Linked DNA regions of Lonchura striata. The protein of the gene in region 1 binds, or shares a complex with, the protein of each later gene. Links are inferred from orthologs where the notes say so. Each region holds a gene or a part of one and is shown on either strand. Other genes may lie near its edges.

What was found. The genes of interacting proteins can lie anywhere in the genome.
Region 2: the proteins of MIDEAS (region 1) and DNTTIP1 are in contact, whole or in part, in a cryo-EM structure (PDB 6Z2J), measured with the Homo sapiens proteins. The link is inferred for Lonchura striata from reciprocal best matches to the Homo sapiens genes MIDEAS and DNTTIP1. Residues at the interface, in NP_001036783.1 of Homo sapiens: Gln768, Asp771, Leu772, Thr774, Ala775, Ser778, Ser779, Ile802, Leu803, Leu806; in NP_443183.1 of Homo sapiens: Pro63, Ser66, Leu69, Leu70, Ala72, Val73, Leu74, Pro76, Ser77.

Annotation. Positions count from the first base shown.
Region 1 is NC_134608.1:35,883,797-35,894,737, forward strand, and holds the start of MIDEAS (mitotic deacetylase-associated SANT domain protein), read right to left. Parts: upstream 4,376-10,941; 5' UTR 4,155-4,375; intron 4,024-4,154; exon of another isoform or gene 3,744-4,023; intron 1-3,743.
Region 2 is NC_134619.1:8,171,376-8,182,037, reverse strand, and holds the start of DNTTIP1 (deoxynucleotidyltransferase terminal-interacting protein 1), read right to left. Parts: upstream 3,925-10,662; 5' UTR 3,904-3,924; coding exon 3,817-3,903; intron 3,743-3,816; coding exon 3,672-3,742; intron 3,348-3,671; coding exon 3,251-3,347; intron 3,117-3,250; coding exon 3,018-3,116; intron 2,539-3,017; coding exon 2,470-2,538; intron 2,191-2,469; coding exon 2,134-2,190; intron 1,887-2,133; coding exon 1,825-1,886; intron 1,375-1,824; coding exon 1,329-1,374; intron 879-1,328; coding exon 820-878; intron 639-819; coding exon 578-638; intron 290-577; coding exon 218-289; intron 1-217. UniProt on the Homo sapiens protein: Increases DNTT terminal deoxynucleotidyltransferase activity (in vitro). Also acts as a transcriptional regulator, binding to the consensus sequence 5'-GNTGCATG-3' following an AT-tract.

The DNA of each region.
Region 1 (10,941 bases):
TGCGTTCACACTTTTTCCCCGGTGTGCAAAGTAGAGCTTTCCTTCATAACTTTTTCAGTCACTGGAGTCGATCAGCAGAGCACTAAGGGCTACATTTGGAGACCGCTCAGAAAAAGAAGCTGTGCAAAGTGTTGTGAAGTGCTCCTTGAGCAGCCTCCTGCTGCAGGCACCTGCCACTTGTCCACTGCGAGCTGCTGGAGCTGCCACACAGAATGCAAGTGGCTGCTATGCAGCTACAAAAACTTACATTACTGCTTGACCAGCCACCTCTTTCAGGGACATGTGCAACGCATAACAAGGATTTCTTAGTTTGAAGGCTCAAATCACACCGGGGGAACTTGTGATTCAAAGTACAAGCAACTCCCGCCTGACATAAAGCTCTCTCTGCCACACTTGCAATTATTAGGGAAGGTCCTCAGGATATTTCCCTGAATTAGCAGCTCATCCCTCCTATTTACAAATTGCTCAGTGACGAGTCTTCCCTTTGGATGTGACTCATGAGCCTTGGTTTGCTCGTGCCAGAACCTGCAGCTTTTTGAGCATGTATTGCAAAACCTCACCACCAGAGCTCCTGCCTTCCTCACCTCCCCATTTCACAAAACGTGGTTTACGTCTCACTTCATGTCTCTTAGACTGTAACTAATTGCACTGGAGACAATATTCATATTTACTATATTTCATTTTAGCATAAACTTTAATTTACTGCAAACAGTACTAAGATATTATGCAATCCTCCAGACCAAAAAAAACAAAACAAAACCAAACAATACAAAAATCCACACACAAAAACAATCAAACAAAAAATCTCAGAGTTTTGGTACTTTGGGTGTTTTATTTTTTATTATGGGGGGAGTGTTTATAAAAAGTGAAACAACAGAAAAAAAAAAGCAGTTTTTACGAACATTCTTATTGCACAATTTGATCAGTAGGTTAAAAAAAGGTGTTTGCTAAATGTTTACCTAAACTCAACAGAAAACTATGTAAGTTTCTTGAGTAGAAATCCTTCAAGAACTGCTAAGCATATAGAAAATATACACACCTTTGCAAACAGGGCCACAGGCTAGACAGATTTTCACTCTGATTCATGGCAGTCCCTCTTGTCTCCTTACGTGCCTGGGCACACCTCCACACACACACCACCAAGGTGGCCATTTCCAAAGAAAGGCTGTGTGTCCTCAAGTCAGGGGCAACTTAAGGGCTTGATTAGCAGCTTGACAGAAGAGTATCATTGATAGGGATGATGGGCTTGAAAATATCTCCCATGGTTCTGCAGCCACCACTGACAGGTGACCATAAGAGTGAAAATGCAAAAATGTAAACTAACATTTGGAGCATTTATGCAGGCTTTTGAAAAGCCTGCATTGTGCTACAGCTCTCATAATTTCATATCATCACTACTCGCATGCACCTGGATGGGTTAAAGGCTAGCACAGCTACACCTTTGTTTTGCAAGCATGCACACAAATGTATATATATCTATGACTAAGTCCACTGAGAACCACAGGACAACTCAAGGACGTGCAAGTTACCTACTCCTTTGTATACAAGTCCAAAGAATCCTGGCCAAAAACTCTCTCCTACCACATAGGTTGTGAAAACCAAAAGACTTAGCATAAGGAATGACTATATTGAATCACTACCACAAATTATTCAATAAATCTTTAAGAACTACTCCAGAGGTAATTCTGACATTAGAACATCCAATATAACATAGATTGTCAAGTTAGTCAAGACATGAAGTACAATTTCAAGCAAAATCCACAAGTAGAACATCACAGTAATGCATGTATTAACATATTTATTTCATATGTTCTATTAAAGCAAAATGCTCCAATAAACTTACAGAAGGATCACTAAGATTGTTTGTCAAATGACATTAAAACCCCCAATAAACAGAACACAAAAAACACCATCAGCAGATCCCTTCATTCTTCATTAGCAAAGCCACATGTGTTTTACATGAAACATTTTTTTGACAACCTGAGGAAACTACCAATAATATGATCTGTGCCTTCAGCTAAAATATTTTGTAGTGGAGCACCAAGAAATTTAAAAGCAGCTTTCCATTTTTATTGTACTTTTCATTGCAGTGCTCAAAATACTTTACAAGCCTTTGTAGCATTTATTAAGACATCAGCTATAATAGCTGAAGATAACACTTCTAGAAAATTGTCTCTAATGTTAGAAAGGCCAGTCTCTGAGCACCAGAGCTGAAATCTTTCAGATCTGATATGCCATTCATTCCAAGTACTCTCAAAACTCAGCTGATAAAAATAACAGGTGACCAGCATTGCTGAAAAAGAAATCTTAGAGACCTTAAGTTGTATCCACAAGAACTTTACCATAATTATGATGTTCTTTAAAGTCTTAGTTAAAAGCCTTGCTAATACAGTGTCAGTGGCACACTTTCTCAGTGTCTCATACTATCCCTCAGCCAACACTGCCTAAAAGATCGCTGAACCAGATGCAACTTTTGAATTAACATTGAAAAAGCATGCTCTGAGCAAATCTCTGGTCTGGTAGTTCTTTCAGGCTCTCAGTTTTGTGGCCTGACACAGAAACTCTCCCCAGTGCCCTTCTCTCCACTGCCAAGCTAGCTAGTTAAACTGCAGTTGCTTATTTTAACATAGGTCTTTTTCCCACACAAGCACACAAAAAATTAGAACAGATCAAGAATTATGCTAAATGTGCAGGACTGTAGCAAACCTGCTTAGATTTCACCTTGTATAAAATCACTTTAGAAACATGATCCCGCAGATTCAATGAGCTTTCAATTTCTGTTTGCTGTGATTTCAGAAACTACTAGTGGCGTTACTGCTGAGTATTTCAGATCTGTGATTTCTACGATCAGCCTCACTCCACTTCTCCTATCTTCCTCTTCCAAGTCTATGAAGGAGTCAAAGAGGAACGTGGCAGTCCACTGCAGAACACATTCTCTTTTTAGCATTTGCAATGCAAAACTAGGTTTTGTTCGGTACAGAAATCTTGCACAATAGCCTGTGTATACGTATTCGTTCCAACAATGCTGTTCTATGCAATCACTCTGTAATTACACACAGTCATAAAGCTGCTGCTGTTGCTGCTTGGAACTGCAGTCTCGCCCTCTAAACAACCTAATAGTCTCTGCATTAGGACATTTCTTTTTCTCTCTTCCCCTCCCTGAACTGCTTGCTCCAGTATAGATGGCCTTTACACTAAGCTCAAAACACGTAGTCGGAATGAAATCAAGTTATTATTAAAAAATTAGATGTTTCTAAAAGAATGTACAGTAAATCTCTGTTGAGCAAATCGAATATTTCGCTAATTCTGCAAGCTGCAATCACACAAGACTTTACAAACCAAAAATAAATCCTGCTTACGCCTGTTAAAAAAAAAAAACCCGTAAGTATTATATAAGACTCTCACATACGCGCGTAGGTGTATTGTCAGCTTTTACTGCTAAACTGCAACGAATCGGTCTTTTGCAGTTGCTGCCAGAAAATATCTGTACACTTGAGAGCACGGGATTTTTCAAAAATTATCTAACAAATTCCTCCCCACCCCCCTCCACTGCGTAAACCCCAGCAGAGCGATCCGACCCTCGCCACGATGCGCGCTCAGCGGCTGCCGGGACTCGGCGGCTCCCGCGCAGCACCGGGGGCCCCGCACACGCCGAGCTGCCCCGGCTCCGCCACGCCGCGAGCAAAGAGAACCTCCCCCTGCCCCAAACCAACCCCCCAAAATTCCATCCGCAGGCAGCTCACCCGGACACGGACACATCCTGAAAACGGTGCAGCAGCCTGGCAGCCGCGAAGAAACCCCTCCGGAGCGCTTGTAACAACTCCGGGTACGGCAGGAGGCGATGGCTCAGCAGCCGAGCCTGGTCCCCCGCAGCAGGCGGGCCGGGAGCGCTGCTGCCCCGGCCCCGTGGGGCTGCGCGGCCCGGGCGCGGAGCCAGCCGCCCTCGTCACCTCCACAGGTACTTCTGCTCCTCATCCTGCACCCAGCACCCACAAACAAAGCACGCACCACCACCCACAAAAAAAAAAAAAAGCCCCAGGAAAGACACCCCCTCTCCAAAATGGCAGGAAAACGGAAGCAAATCGTGCAAATTAAAAAAAAATAATAACCGCGCGGAAAACAAGATAAGGAAGAAAGAGAACGGGCTGGCTCACCTGCGCAGCCAGGCACGGAGGGCGCCGCAGGGGAACGTGGAGCGGCTGTTTGCAGAGGGGGGCGGGAGGGAAGAAGGAGGAGAGAAAAAAAAAAAAAAAAACAAACTTTGTTTCTTTCTCTCCGGGACTCAGCGAAAGCGTCACTTCCTAGTGCAGTAAGCGGGGAGGCTCCCGGGCCCGGGCTCCTCAACTCCTCCTCCCGCCTTCCTCCTCCTCCTCCCTCCGCGGCGCAGCTTCCCGCCGGCCCTCAGCGCCTCATCCCGGCACGGGCCCGGGCCCCCTGCCCTTGTCCGCAGGGCTCGGCTTGACCTTCTGCGCTTGGCTGTCGCTGCTGTTGGCAACGAAGGAGAGGAAATCCCCAACGAGTGAGGGGCGGGCAGAGAGTTTGCAGCATTGATTTGAAAGCCAAGCCAAGCCCTGCAAAATATTGCCGTGTCCGGTACCCGGCGGAAAGCGCCGCTTTGATGCCCCGAGTTCAGAGCCAGGCTCTTCAGCAAGACAAGGCTTCGTGTCCTTTCTCTCTAAAGAAAAACAAAGAACTTTTGGGGTTTAAGGAAACCCGTACCAAAGGAAAACATGCATTTCTGTTTCCGCCTTTTGGTCCCTTTTCTCTTCACTTTTTCAGAAGAAAAAGTGAAAAAAAAAAAAAAAAAGGGAAGGGAGAAAGGATGTTAGTCTAATGCAAATCCTCAGGTCGTGTCTATATTGTTGGCTGTTTTACCAACACCTGAAATTTACTTTCACAATAATTCATACTTCTGAGGCTTCTAAAAAATGTCCAGCTCCTCTTCTGGAATATGTCTTCCTCTGCTGCCTTGGTCCGAGAATAAAAAACACAGTGTGCTGACAAATGTAGGTATGCTACTCTACTCTACTAAGGCAGGAAATAAAGAAGTTGCTTTGTCATTGCTCCCTCTGTAGACTGCTCTGCTACTCGAGTTTGTTACAATCAGTGAAACTTTTAGATTATAAAATAACCTTTAGACAGCATTCACAGATTAGACTCATATTCAGGGAAACATCGAACAACATGAAAATGCCAAACATTTTTCTCCAGTGTGCACGTTGCCACGTGCTTACCTTCCATCCAGGCTCAGATCATTCAGTGCACACTGAATCCAGCAGCATTGCTGGATTTTGGGATTTTTTTCCAGAGCAGCAGGGTAGTTTCCCTTCCAGCATGTATTGCCTTATAGAGTGAATTATAGAAGTAATTTTTGTACTGCTCACTGTAGTTCATGTTTCTTTCACAATAGCTCCTTGCAGAACTTTTTACCAGGGAAGCTCAAGATATGTAGAAACAGGAGCCCAGAAAAGTGACTTGCCTATGACTACAGATGCATAACCAGGTTACTCTGATGAGTCCCAGGTCAGCAGTCTAATTACCACACCCAATCTTTTCCTGTCATGGTGCAGAGGATAACAGTGAGACATATGGTGTGGTAAAGAGCAAAATAGTAGCCACAGGTACTACTGGTAAAGGTTTTTTTTTCTTTCACAACCAGAGGTATCGTTTGATGCAACACTGTCTCAATAGGACCTTCAGGAAAACTCTGCTATAGCACCATTTGGTCTTCCAAATTCATTATATTTAAATATAATGCTATTTAAATATAATGCAGCTATTTAAATCAATATAGAAAGAATATTCCCAGATGTTCACAAATTACCTAATATGTAAAGCAAACAAATTATTGAACATATAATAAATATCTGTAGTCAAAGGCATACAACTCATTAATTTAATTTGCCCTAATAAAGATTGAAAAGAGAGATTCAATAAACTGGAGTTATTTCCTCTCTGTTATGTTAGGCAATCGGTACCTCCCATGAAGCACATCAGATACTGAGATTGAAATTACTTATGTCAGCTTTCATTGGGGGAAGAACAAACCTAAGCAAAAATAAACCTGAATCCCACCAGTCTTCTGGGATTTTAAATCATGTCCTAACAGTAAAGTGTATCTCTTTGTTCCAGACAGAACAAATGCATGTTCTACTTCACCTGTTTGGAGGCTGGGAGTAAAATGATGAGCAGCATCTTGCGTTTCACAATACTTAATCACATAAAAGCAGCAGACAATGGCAGAAACGTCATCATCCGGCTACAGAAGCTAACATTGCACAGAGTAGGGAGTGTGCTTTCTACCCTTCTCTAGGAGATATTTTAACTTGTTGGGTTTGATATTTCCCTCCTAAATAATGTATCATGCAGATAGGAATGCTGAGCCAAATACAACATAGTAACCATAAGGACAAAGCTGAAACACACTGTAAGATGCAAAATCTATAGGAAAGAATGACTGTATTTCCTAAACATACCAAATGGGATGAGAACAAAAACAAGCAAGCAGGTAGGTACACCAACTAGTTTATGGATCTAAAATAGAAGAAAGACTTCAAAGGCATCATGAAGTTTATAGAGCTGTATGTTAGTGTTTACCTTACCAAGCAATAAAAGTTTTATGAAGTGTTTTGTAAGGATTTTACAGTTATACACTCTTAAATTGTTTCTCCATTCCTCACATTACATGGTCCTTACATCTTCTCCAGAACCAGCCATCATAATTTTCTTCTTTTCAGTAACAGCTTTTGCTATGCTTTTTAAAAGTTTTTCTTTCTCCTATTCTCAGCATATGCTGAGACTACACGATGGCTGCACCTCTATCAGCTTTACAACGACAAAACTTAATGCACACGCATTCCCTGTTATGTCATTATTTTGTTACTACACTGAAGGAGATTGGAAGATCTCCTAGCTATCAGCATATAAAATCTTCATTTTCTTTGGCTTGTACAGACACATCTTGTAGTGTAACAACATCGACTCATATCATTAATACACTGGGTTGCACTGAGTCAGAATTTGGATTAAAGACTATGCTCTGCATATTTAAGTTTGCAAAATCGAGCCACAGGCTCAGTAGGTGGCACTCTTTTCACCGTGCCAGAGCAGAGCCAAGGTCCCGCCCTCTTTGTAATTCTCAAGAGCTGAACTTGTGCTCCGGTATGATGGGAGACATTATGGAGCCATTAGTTCTCCCTGAAATTAGGTATAAAATGAAGGTCTTAACCACTATAGCCAATAAAAAAGCATTTACACCCTTTGTAATAGGAGTTTCAGATTCTAATAAGCCTAAACTTCCACCTCATAATCACACCGAAATTTCCTCTAAAATTTCAATAGGATGTGATTTTTATTGAAAAATATTAATGTCAGCATAAACTAGTAATTAATAGCTGCAATGTTTATCCCATAAATATATTCAATGTTCAGAGGCAGGGCTGCTTCTAGACAAGCCAGCGAATGGAGGTGAAGTTCAACACAGACTAATGCAAAGCCCTGCACTTTGCCAAGACTCACCTGCCAGTGCACAGCAGTGAAAGTTCAAAAAAAGCCATTCCTTCATAGTCACCATTTCCCAGCACTATTACAGGAGAAAATGTTCATAAAAATGGTTTTTATACAAGACCAATTACTTTATACTACAGGGAAATTTTAGTTTCTCCAATACCAATGTCTGTTTCCCATCTTTGTCAGAATTAATCACTCAAGTTACTATATTTGAAATATTATGCTTGGGTACAACTTCTCTTGGGAAACTTGATGCAGACATATACAATGTTTGGAAAGAAGGGGTTTGGCCTATTTAAAAGTGTTTTCAAAAAGGAAAAAAAACAAAAACCTTTGTACCTGTATTTTACTCTTCTTATCTGACTTTAAAATTAAAACACTTCACTCAAGCTAGATTTGAGCAAGATTCAGTTTCTTTGATCAGCCTGGGGAGAAACTACATGTATTTATAGAGCATGCATGTGTAAATACATATGTACACACACACAGAGTGTCATGACCTGGCTCCCTGAGAACCAGGAGGAAACCTTGTTACATGAGGGAAAGGGAGGATCACTGTGGTTTAGAAAAGAAACCACATGTGAAACAAAGTTATTCACATTGCTTAAACACTACTGAAAGAAGCTCAGATGCTGTGGTGGGAATGACAGTGCGGGAATCTATGAAGTAACAAATTATGTGGCATGCTGAAAACCAGAACTGTTGATGCTTTCTTCCTAATTTTGCTAGCTTGTATAGTTTTTAAAAGACTTTGTAATCTTTCTGCAGTTACTATCACTTTTCCCAGAATGCCACATTATTTGTTTGTTTGTTTTACAAACAACAGTCTGTGGTAACATTGTTCACTAAAATAGAGAAAAATACAGTATTTGAACAAGCTAAGTGGTGAGCTGAAGGCCACATGGATTTTGAATAGCTCAGTTTGGTTAGCTCCCAATGCTCAAATCCACATAAAAACCCTTCTGTCACACTATACTTATCCTGCATTTTAGGAGTTCAGTATGCAGATTGTACTAAACTCCAACATGCCCCATCACCAAAGTGTCACAAATCTACACGTACAATAGTAGGATACCAAATTCTTCTGGCTGCTCAGTTGACTGATTAATGATACAAGTCCTTCTGAAAATTAGGTTCAAATTACCTTAAGGAGGATGATATTAAAAAAATGTAAAAACAACAAAAAAGTTAAAAAAATAAGAAACTGCCTGTAAATTGTTTCTGGTTTTTTTTCTTAAATATTTATTGATTATATTTTCTTACATACTGTGTGAGAGGAAAATTAGAAAATGAACTGATGAATATATGTATATTAGAACTCTGAAAATATAAAGCACCATAAATTCTTTAGCTCTATTTAATTATTTATCATCATAATTTAGATAATATATATAATAATGCTACTATCTTGGGAAAAGTCCATGGTCTAGTAGCTCTCAACAAGATCAAGAATTTGAAACAATATGCTATGATATTTTTTCTCTCTTTGTATAACATTGATGTTATTTACTAGGAATTAGTATTACAGAGAATAATCTAGGTTGTTTCTTTAATACTCTAAGTAGACCAATTTTTTATTGAACCATGCAGAAGGTATTTAATTAGATCAATAGGCTGTTTAATAATATAAAAATAAGATCTGTCCCACTGACTCAAGTAATTGGTAATAACTAATGGCACATGGTGTATTTGCAGGATTCTGGAATCTTTGTAGGATTCTGTAATATTTGTGTTATTTATTATTTATATGTCTTATGCAAGATATATATCTATGTATGTATGTGCATATATAGAAGAACATCCTTAAAGTCATCTCTTATAGAGAACGTCAACTAGGAAATTCTTCTGATCTTCAGTAGCTCATGTATTACCAGCAGCAATCTCAAAGCCCATTTTAGATCATTTGACCCTTACAGTCATTCAAGAAACTTCCAGCCCAAACAGGTTTTAGTGACAAGGACTTAGAACCATTGCAATTACATTGAAACATATGCTGCATAAATCTAGGGGCATCAGGGGAATCAGAAAGTGAGCATTTGCTAACACCATGTTCTGTTGGCAGCCCATGGTACTCTCTCATGAGGATTCATCCCTATTCCATCACATAAATAAATTACAGAATAGCAAGGGAATGTAAACCACAGTGGGAGATGCCAACATGTATAAATAAGACATATGTGATAGGCAGGTACCAAATACAGAGGATAATCTGCAAGCACATAATTATGCACCTTGATGACTTTATCTGTCCCTCTACTCCTTAATCCTGCTTCTCTGTCACTCCGTGCTTGCCTGTGCTGGCACTTTGCATTGGTGCAAGTCAGGCTGCAGCTTCTCCTGTCATCACCATTACACTGTAGAGTTTTTGGTGAATTGCTGTGAAGTTTTGTTCTTCACAAATTCACAAGAAAGTTGCATCATTCTGATTTCCATACCTGGAACCTAGTTGTATTTTGGCAGTTCTCCATGATTCCTTCCAATACCAAGTTGTGACCGATCCCAGCCAGTTGGTCTGTTTATCTCTGTGATCTCTGAATATTCTTTATTTTTTGCATAAAGTACATTGCATATTCCATTGTAAGGAAAATTAATTCAGTTACTCTCTTAATGTTTACTAGTACAATTATGGAGTTTGTTCTTTTTTCCTCTCTCATTATGGAGTGTGTTCTTTTTTCCTCTCCTTATTCTTTTTTAATACAAAATTTACAGTTTTTTCTTTTTTTTCTTGTCAATGGGAATCTTAAAAGGCTTGTAGTACAATCTAAAACAATTTTTTTCCATTTCTACATAGGGCATAAACCACAATTTCATGGCAACAGCCCTACATAGAATATGGTATTCCAAGGCAGGAATGCTTCCCAAATACAGATGTGGTTATATTATATACATGGTCCACTGAGCATTTGAGCATTATTTATGTTTTCTGTTAGCCAACAGGAACATGTATCTTCATGGCTGCCCCAGGACTGCCAGCTGAAGGAAATGCAGCAATCCAAACAGGAAGCAATGAAGTTTTTTATCAATGCATCTCAGACATTTTGTCTCAGAACCCTCCCCTTCTACACAATAAGGAGGATCTTTCCTCCCTTGCAAATGCATGCTCCTCCCTCATCTCCCCCCACTCCCACTCCTGCAGAGATTTCTCCAGCTCCTTGAAGCCACAGTGGACTGAGAAAGCAAAGGATGTTATCTGGAAGAGGCTAATGTAACCAAGATGTACAGTAGAAGAGCCAGGAATACACATAATCCATGAAGGCAACCATGAAGAAAGTATTCAAATACCAAACTCAAGTATTCTGTCTCTGCTGGATTTACCATAGTGTCTGTTTATAGGTACTTGTTCATTTCTTTACTCTTTCCTCATATGTATGAGAGGTATCATCTGATACCACTACTGTCTCAAGTAATAAAAAAAGCAATCACTGTCTTTTT
Region 2 (10,662 bases), on another chromosome or scaffold:
ACAAGGCAGGGGACACCTCAGGGTGCCTGCGAGGGGCAGCCAGGGCAGGCCCACACCCTCAGCCACCACTGTCCCCGTGGGAGCCAGCCGTGCCTCCTGGCCCATGCCCCAGTCCTGTGGGAGGGGACAGACCTTGGCAGCGCCGTGTCCCCGTGCCCTGCCTATCCTGCCACCGCCGCCTGGCCCCGCGGCGGGCCCTGCGCCCGGCCGTACTCACCATCTTGCCCCCAATGGCCCTCATGTGCTGCTGCTCTGTCAGCCAGTGCTTATCCTGCGGGTCGGCTGCGTACTGCAATAAAGCAGCAAGGACCGAGCTGAGAACGGGCGACAGACCCTCCCCTGAAAGCCCCGCTCTGCTCTGCCCCCGCTCCGCCTGCCCTGCTCCAGCCTCAGCCCTGGCTCTGCCACCCCTGCTGCCTTGGCAGGCTGCGACACCACTGGCTAGTGTTATGTGCTATCCAAACCTTGGGAACACGATCTAAGACAACATACAAGGACATGGGGGAGGCAGTAAGCAAGGGAGCTGAAACATACATTCCTAATTCCCATGGGAAACCATCTGGCTGTGGCACCTGACCTTAAAGAGGTGGGGATGCTTGATGTAGAGTCGCCCTCTTGTTCCTCCCATCCCGAGAGCTCTGCAATAGGAACATGAGGGGTGTTAGGGCTGTGGGGAGGGCAGCTGTGGTAGCACAGGGACACCCCTCTCCTCCCCAAGCCCTTCCTACTGCTTTTGAGGCAGAGAAGCGAAGTGACGGGAGGAGTGTCACGGGCTCCTGCCTGGGGACACCACCCTCCATCGACAGGGCCGTTCCTTACTTGTTTGCTCGAGATCCCAGCACAAAGGTTGTGGTTTCAGTCAGTCGGGATGGATCCCACTACAGAGCAATTGGAAAAGGGGCAACATTAGAAATGAAGTTGCTGCTGGCCATGCTCCACAAGCCTCGGCTCTTTGACAAGGGAACCTTGGAGCTGCCTCCAGACTGGGAGGGAGGGAGCTGGCCAATGACCTCCAGCCTTCCTCAGGGGAGGGATGTTACATTCCGTCTGGGCTGATCTAAGCAGTTTCCCTCGTGGGAAACACTTGTGGGATTCTCCTGGCTACTCCCGGTCTCCTCAGGCCTCCCTCAGCGGCACCACACTGCAGGGCTACAGGCTGGGTGCCTGGGGAGACCAGCAAAGGCCTCCGGGCACTTCGCTTCCTCTTCTTGCTCCCGCCCTGCCCAAGGCCCCAGCAGGGCAGGGCACAGCCCGCGCTGTCCTGCGCTCCTGCTGGTGGGAGCAAAGGGGAGGAGAGAGGGAGCCCAGCAGTGTCGGACAGCTAATACCTTTGGTCCATCCCTTTTCACAGGCTCAGAGACTTTGAGCTTCCACCTGAGGGGAAGGAAAACACAGTAAGAATGAGTCCCAGTGGGATCAGCTTAGTCACCACCAGCAGCAGGGACTGAGCTCAAACCCTTCCAAATCCACCATTTTTTCACACCCTCCATTTCCCCACAGCGCCCGGCTTTGGACCTTCAACTTTGCTGCACATTCTCCTCTCCTGGTTGCCCAGATCCCACCATCCCCTGTGTCTCACCACTCATTCTGGATGGTCCATCTGGACCTTTTCACCCCTTTGGGCCTGTTTAAAAATCCCTCCCTTTAAGGTCTTTGCCTCCTGAGGGGAACACCTCAACCTAACCCTGCTTCTGCCCATACCCAGAAGAGCTCCCATTACTTCTCTGTAAGAGAGGAGTCTGTGGGGTTTCTGTGCTCCCCACACGCAGCCTCATTGTCCCTGCCCTCCCGAAACAGGGGCTCTAGCTCAGGGTTTGTACTCACGTTGCCATGCCTGAGACTCCACGGTCATTTGACAGGCTCTGTCCTGGAGGCCGCCCCTTCCTCTGCATGGAAGAAACCCTTCTGTGACCCAGCTGTGCTGCCTGAGGGAACCCTCTCAGCAACCCTCCCTCTCCCAGGGAAGCTGCTTCTTTTGTCACAGGCAAAAACACTGCCTGCGCCAGAGTGAGCACCTCCAACGCCTCAAAAAAGCTGCCCGTGCACCTCCCTGCACTCACACTGTGGGAATGGCCAGGAATGAGGGCCAGGCTTCCCAAAACATAAACTCTCTTGTGAAGAAAACCATCCTACCTTTTTTGGAATGGGGCTTCCTCGGCGGCTCAGCTCTTCATCCATCTGTCGGGCACGCTGGAAGGGAAGGGCAGTGGGATGAGCAGGGCTCCTCTCCCTACCTGGCCAGGTGAACACTGACCCCAGACCACCCCTGTGAGTAGCACTGAACTGCAGCAAGCAGCACCCACACCTGGGATTCTCTTTGCCCTGCATTCCCTTCAAGCCAAACATCCCCCACTCTGTCTCTGCACTACTGCACTGGCAGCCAAGAAGAGTCAGAGAACAAAGTAATCCCAACTCTTCTCCCAGCTTTCAGAAGTCATTTAAACCTCTGTGTACAATCACCACAATTACCTTTGGCACTGCCTGCTCATGGGGCAACCTGGGAACCACCTTTTTGCCATCTGAGAACAGCAGTTTGGCCTAAAGGGAGACAAAGAAGGTTCCCTGGATTCTGGGCTCAGAGAAGGCCCCATAAACAACCCCCACCTCTACATATCTGCCTAAAAACCCTGCAACAGCTTTGCTTTTGGAGTGCTACCAGGCCACGCTTCCACAGACAGCCAGATGCAAAAGCACAATTTGAGCATGATAAATTCTGGCAAACTGGCAGATAAGCAAGACATGAAAGGAAAAATCCTGGCCCACCCTGCTAGGACCTTCTGACGGGTGCTGGGGGCCAGTTTCTGTGGGACTCCAGCAGTGTGCCATGTTCCTTACAGCAGCAGTGAGAAGAAGCAGCATGAGCTGCCCAGCCCTGACTGCTCCCTTATTCCCAGAGAGAGTCACACAATGGCTGCGGATGTCCCCTCACAGTGACAGCAAAGCTGTAAAGAGGGACACATTCTAGCCAGGTTGCTTTGCTTGGCTGCACACTCAAGAGACACCTCCCCAGCACCCACCTGCTCCAGGCAGCTCCTACAGGTCTCCTGGATGAGCTGCTCTGGGTCCACCTCCTCCCCAACGTTATCACGCACGTTGATTGCTGCTGTCTGGAAAAACTGAAGAGGAGAAGGCAGGAGAGGGTGACAGCCTGCGCAGTGTCAGCTCGGCTCCTGCAGACAGGCGCGATAGCCTCGGTGGCACCGAGCTGTCCCCACGCACCTGCTGCTGCCCACCCGCCCCCAGCGCTCACCTTCATGTACTTGTTGAAGATGCCCTGGATCTCCTCGTTGATGCTGGGCTGCAGCACAGCCCGCAGCAGGTCCATGGACACGCTGGGGTCCGTGAAGCTGCAGGAGGAGAGGTCAGGAGGGGGGCGCGGAGCCCCCTGCCCCGGCCTCTCTAACCCGATCCTCCCTGCGCCCGGCGCTCCTCCCGACCCTGCAGTCCCATCCTTCTCCTCCATCCACCTCATCCCCTGGCCGCCCATCGCGGTCCCGCAGTCCCATCCTTCTCCTCCATCCACCTCGTGCCCTGGCCGCCCATCGCGGTCCCGCAGTCCCATCCTTCTCCTCCATCCACCTCGTGCCCTGGCCGCCCATCCCGACCCCGCAGTCCCACCCTTCTCCTCCATCCACCGCGTCCCCTGGCCGCCCATCCCGGCCCCGCGGTACCTGGTGGTCATCTGTGAGCGCCGCCCGCGCCGCTGCACCTGCCGGTGCTTGATCATGATGTTCCAGGGGCTCTGCGGGACACACGCGTCAGCCCCGGCCCCGCCGCGCCCGCTGCCCGCCCGGCCCGGCCCGGCTCCCTCCTCACCGTGCTGACCAGCTGCTCCTCGACATCGCCCGGGCCCTCCTCGCCCGGCGGCCCCGGCTGCTGCTCCGCCTCGCGGGCGGCGCCCATGGCCCCGCTCCGCGCCGCGCCGCCGGCGGCCGGATGCGCGGGGACCCGGCTCCTGCATCATCGCGCCCCGACGGACGTGACGCGTCCCGCGGCGGCGGGGCCGGGCCGGGGCCGCGCCCGGTGCGGGCTCGGCAGCCCTGCGCTCGCACCGTGCCCGCCCGGTGTCCCCGCCGGTGCCGCGGGGCGAGGCAGGGCGGCGCAGTCCCTGGAAGTCACCCGGTTCCACCCAGAGCAGGACCTGGCGCGGGGGGAGCTGGGCACACGTGGATTCTGTACCTGCAGCTGGAGTGTGAACGCCAGTCTTTCGTGATCTCCGTGTTTCCTCGTGTAATTCCTCTTTCTGGAATCTCGTTGCTTTTCTGAGGAAACACCCCCAAACCAGCATTTCCTCATCTTGTCTGATGTGTGCAGAATAGTCAAAACAACTTTTCTGTCGTTTTCTAGATAATCTCACCCCATGTTGTGGTCAAAGAGAAGCTTTTCTGTTGAATCAGCTGGATAACAATTTGCACTGATAAGCCATTTACTATTTCGGTAACATTCTCTCTCATTCCAAGATGATTCAGTGGGAGAAGCCAAGCACAGGGCATTCGCTGTGCAGAGCAGGGGTGTGCTCCAGCAGCCATCTCCAAGTGCTGTCCCTGTCCTCTGTGCCAGTGGGGCTGCCCTGAGCCGTGCTGCGGGGCAAAGTGGGATCTCCTTCCCACCAGCTTTGCCAGATGCTCAGTCGTGTTTCATTTGTGTTCAAGGGATGAGTGCACATGGCACCTGGAGCCATGGTCTAATCGACAAGGTGGTGATCAGTCACAGGTTGGATTTGATGATCTCAGAGGTCTTTTCCAACCTAAACCATTCCGTGGTTCTGTGACTAATGCTGTGGGGGCTGTGTTGGTACCTCTGGAGGATGTTGTGCTGGTGTTTCTCAGCACCTGTCACTGCAGCCTGTGGCTGTGTCCCCTCAGTGTGACTCTCCTGCGGTAGCTGTTGGCTCTGCAGTGACCACACTGGGCTCCCATGGAAGCCTGGAGTGGCTGTGGGAGCAGAGGCTGCTGACTCGTGGGCTCACAGGGTGGAAGAAGCTCCTGCCTTTGTCCCCTTCCTGCTGCTTTGGCCAGGGCTGCACCCGGGGTAAGCTTTGGGCTGTTAGACAAACCCAGTGGTGGATGTGGGGCCAACCAAGTCATCATCAACATCGACATAACTTCATTATCACCAGCACTGGGCTGCTTGTGTGCTTATTTTGGTTGCTTCAAGTTGTCAGCAATAAAAACTGGACATTGTCCAGAGGAGAAGAAGACTAACTGTGTCTGTACGAATGCCCAGAGAAAGGTGAGGAGAGTGATACTGTTAATCTTGTCCACCTTGGTGGACAAATGTCCTATGTGTTTATTTGAATTAAGTGAGGCTGACATCAGATCTTTGGAATAGCTTTCCAATTAACAAGAAGACTTAAATCCTGAACAAATTCTCAATGATGGAGAAAACACTTTTGCAGAGAGAGAGATATCTTTTCAAGAGTGTGTCAGGGATCACCTAAATCTGACTCATGTGGTGCCTTATTTGGGTCTCCTCCAGATCCTGGTTTTTAATGGTAATTTTTCCATGGATCTCTGTGGTAGGTGCATGTCTGCCAAACATGAACACCTGGTTCACAGCTGAGGTTACCCATGTTCCTGCTTGATTCTCAGGGAGACTTTGGACAAATCTCTGACCCTCAGTATCCTCAAGCATTTATTTCATCAGAACAATTTGCTTGTCAGACATTCTTCTCCATTTGATTCCTAAATGTTATCCAGGATTATGGTCTGCTAAAACAGAAATGTGCCAGAATTATGGTGTTGTTCCCAAAAGCAGGAACCACCAGGCAAGCACGGGGACAGCAGCAGTGCTGAGCTCTCCGTCGTGGCACTCCTGAGGTTGGAAGGAGCCTTGCCATCCCTCAGGTTGTTCCAGCTGGTTCTCCAGGTGCGTGGAAGGGAGTTGGTGCTGCTGACACCGGCTGGCCAGCACTGCCTGCCCCGGGGTGCCCGGCTCGGTGATTAACAGCCCCAAACCCGCGATAAGCACCGGGCCGGCGGGTTCGGCCGGGCTGCCAGGCGTGGAGCACCGGATCTCCGGTGGACATGGGTGGTTCGTGGAGGAATTGCATCCACCTTGAGTCACAGCAGGAGGAGAAGGATAAGCCTGTACTTAAAGCATTTTTCTTGCCATTATCCCTCTTCCCACACAGATTTGTGGAGACTTGTGCGGAGCTGTGCTCCTTCCTTTGCACTGGCCCTGCATTGCCTTGATGAGATGTTGATGGAAAGCTCTTTGAGCACGACTTTGCTTTTTCAGTGCTCCTGTCAAGTGCCAGCTTAGAGTTGTAGCAATAAGATCAATCTCAAACTCATTAATTTCACTCACCCCGCAGTTGCAAATTTAAACTTTATCTATTATCCAGAAACTCCAACCCATTTGTGCTTGGTGCTGATGTGTCCTGGGCAGACCAGTTCTTAACTTCTCCTACCCTATTCATTGCACATTGCTTTGTGTGTAATGCAGAAAGAAATAATTAAATAGAGAAGGAAAAAATTGGAAAATCAGATGCCAACTCACACTCCTGGGTGACTGGAGAATAACTTGGTGTAGATGGGTTAGCACTCACAGAATTGGATCTTAGTTAAGCTTAATCTGCTGCCTTAAACATATTAAATATGTCTTTACCCTGAGATCATATGCAGAGGAAAGGAAGGCAGTGTGGCAGTGCATCTAATTTTCATTTACTCTGACTGTGAGTTTCTGGTGAAGGCCAGCAGTTTGGCTGGCAGTTTGCAGACAGATTCCTGTGCCCTCCTCAGCACAGGTGAGCTCTTTTGCTTGAAGTCCCAAGACCTTTTCCTCCAGAGAGGTCTATTTTAGTGCAGCAATATTTCATTGGAGCAGATGTTCGCTTGGACAGTAAATAATCTGGTGTTTGTACATGCAGTAAGTGTGCACTCCCATTGCAAATTCATGTGGTTATTGAATGTTGTGTGTAAATTAATAGGGCTCTCATGCATGGACACTAAATCCTGCAATTCATGTTCAGGAGTTCCCAAAAGCTGATGGAGGCCTGGTTAATGGAGTCTGGTTGGTCTGGGGGAAAGACATACTGAGCTCTGACTTTGTCCAGAGTGAGCTGAGCTGCATGGGCTATGCTGTGAAAAGGAAGGTCCTGGGGAGGCCACAGAGCAGGAGGACCATGGGGACCAACATGAACTTGCTCGGGAAACTTTGAGCTCATTTGTGTGCCTAAACCTGGCAGCGGACAGTAGGAACTCTGAAAGAGCTGGAGCCCTCTGCTTGAGAACGGGATGGTTCAGAGCCAAGTGTTCAAATGAAGCCTTGAATCCTTGACCTACAAAAATCTGCAAAGAATCTCCACGTGTGAAACAGGAGCCTTGAATGAAGGGCATTTTGCATGTGGAAAAAGGGAGCTCCTGGTGCTGCTGCCAGGTGTTGTTGCCCTGATCCTGCTCCATCCAGGATGGCAGGGCCAGGACAGGCTCCAGCCTGCAGCAGAGTCCAGCACTGGGGCAGAGCCCGGCACTGGGGTCACTGCTGTGGATAAAGGTTATCATGGGCATTCCTGCTGAGAGCAGCAGTAAAGAATCTGCCTCTGTGCAGTCCTGGATCTCCCTTCCATCCTTCAGTCCTTGTGCTGTCCTCCTTGGAGTGCAGCCAAGTCTGGATCCTGCTCCTGCCTTGGCTGTGGGTGGAGCTGGAGTGGCTCTTCGGTAAACAGAATTAAAGGCAAATGTGGGAGGTTCCCGAAGTCACCTGTGGCCTGCCTCCTCCCATTCCTGGACCCGGGCTCCCTGCTAGACCCTTTAAATTGCCAGTTGGCACAGCCCTGGACACAGACTTCATCAGCATGGCACCAGGCATCCTCCTGCTGGGGCTCCTCTCCCTGTGGGCACAGCTGCAGGCAGCACCCATTGCAGGCAAGTATGGGTGGGTGGGAAGAACATTTAAGAATGTTTTTTCCTTATTTTCATAGAATCACAGGTGTTTTGCAGGTGCTGGCAGGTGCCAGGTTGCTGCCTTGTGAGGGCCAGGGAAGCCGTGGGGTGAATTGGGGGGATGAGCCCAGTGCCACAATGAACTGTGGCACAGTGCCACCTCTCCCCGACTCCCCGGCGTACCTGGAGCCCATGTGGCTGCTGGCCCCAGGGCAGAGGTGCCCAGGAGAGCCCCTCAGGCACCAGCCCCACCATGACACTGCCATGAGCTGGGAGGCAGCAGCATGGTGAGTTGCCTCAGCCTTGAGGGCAGCAGGGGTCAGGCAGAGCCCTGAAAGCCCCCCAGGAAAAGCAGCAGAGGAGAAGACAGCACAGCATCGTGGTTAAGTGGGCTGCCGGGTGGGAGCAGTGGATGGAAGGACAGCATGCTGGGGCTGATGCTGCTGCTTTCTGCTCTCCTGCAGAGTTCCATGGAGTAGCTCCAGCTGGGTGGCCACCACCAGGACAGCTGGGAAGAACCCTGAGCCTTGAGCCTGGGGAAAAGCCCAGCACAGTGCCTGACAGCAATGGTGGTGATGGTGACAATGACAACAACAGCTCCAATAGAAATGAAATGGGTGATTCCAATAGCCATAAAAGTGGTGAGTCCAATAGCAGTGAAACTGGTGATGATGGCCACAATGCCAATGACCATGATGGTGATGATGGTAATAGAAGTCAACTTTGTGATTGCAATGATCATAATCATGGTGACAACCACAGTGATGTTGGTGATGATGGTGTCAAGAGTGACCATTCTAACAGCAAGGAAGATGGTGATAAAAATGATGGCAAGGAAAATGACAATGGTAATGGTGACAATGACAGTGGTGATGGTGATGATGGTGTCAACGGTGACAATTCCAGTAGCAATGAAGATGGTGATGATGGTGTTAAAAATGACCTTTCTGATGGCAAGGACAACGACAGTGACGATGGTGATGATGACAGTGACGATGGTGATGATGACAGTGACGATGGTGATGATGGCAATGATGATGGTGGTGATTTCATCAGTGATGAAAATTCCAATAGCTATGAAGATGGTAATGAAGGCATCAGTGATGATAATTCCAATAGCTATGAAGATGGTGATGATGACATCGACAGTGACAGTTCCAATAGCAGTGAAGATGGTGACTCCAATGACAATGAATATGATTACTCCAATAGCAATGAAAATGGTGATGACTATGGGGGGTGGAGATTTTAGATTGTAAGGGTGTAATTGCCCTGGGATTTTCAGAGATTTTTGGGTTCCTCTTATGTGGCATCCAGCTCAGGCTACCAGATTTCATGCTTGACCTGTGCCAATAAATATATCTAGTGAACATGAGAGCTTAGTGTCAAAAATTTCTTTAACAGCTCGGCAACCCAAGTGAGGCACTTGTTCACTTGCCTGTTTTCTTCCAAGCACCAGATATCCAAATTTGCAGCAGCAGATGTTTCACCCAGGAGCTCTGGTGTAAGGAAGGACTAAGTAGTGAGTGTCAGATCTCTAAAGGAGATTCAAGTCCTGCCTTCTACAAGTTTGGGTTTTGTGGGTTTTGGGAAGCATGAGCAATGTACCTGGCATAAAGAAGAGGATGACTTAGCCGAGGCACGGCAGAACTGGGAGAAGATAGTTGGCACCATTAAATGATCTCTAAAACTCACAGTGATGTTATGCCAGGAGGAGGGGCCATATATTACTTGACATGTGGGGCAAAACCTGCAGAAGTGTGGCCACACAGGGGGTTTCAAGGAGTCTGTTTTGATTTGCCTTCAACATAGATTACAGAACCAGTACACAGGGCAGATGGACTGTTGATGTGTATGGGATAACTGAGCTTGGGAAAAGCAGCATCTCGGGAGTGGGGTTGATATATGATATCCTGAGGTAAATTCTAGCCCAGACTCTGCTCCTCCCTGTGTGCCAACTGAAAAAGATTTTCCATTGTCTATTCCTGTTGCTTTGCTTTCTATGCTCTCTGCTACTTCACCTGCAACTGCCCCAATCCAGTCTGGACAAATTATATGAGTACTATTATCAATGGGCAGGCAACAATTGTTTTAACTTATATCCATTGGCCCTGGATACAGGAGATTTAGTGTTGTGGGCTACTAACATGCCAAGGCTGAGCGGAGATGCAGAGCAATATGCTCAAATTATTTTCTTTCAAATTTGTGCTCCACATGATGAAAACTGGCAGGATTGAAAAGCTATGGAAGAAAAGCTAAAGGTGGCCAGGGACTGTATAAAAGATGAAAAGAGCAAAGGAGTTTTTTGTAAGATATTAGATGTCTGCACAGAAGCTGCCTGTTAGGATAGGAAAAACTATAGCAGAGAGAAATAAGATCTGAGAGAGAAGCAGAAGGTTGGAAAGAAGCTGTATTATTGTCTTTGAAAACTGAGAAGCTGCATAAACAGGAAGAAAAGCTACAGGAAGAAAAGAAAAAAAAGTCAGAATAAAAGATTGAAGTTATATTTATGTGAACTCCCTGTCCTCTGACATTGTATAGATTAGAAAACTAACTGCTATCCCCTGAAGAATGAGATTGGAAGGATTTAGGGCAGCCCTGACCACAGTGAACCTGGAAAAGATGATTCTTTGTTTCCTTCAAATCCCCCTGAATATGAAACCAGACTCTTTAGAGAAACAGAAGAAACCAGTGGACCTTAGGATAGAATGGGAAATTATACTCCAAAGAGTCCCATTTGATTTGATTTAGATGACTGATCTGGAAGCGCACTATG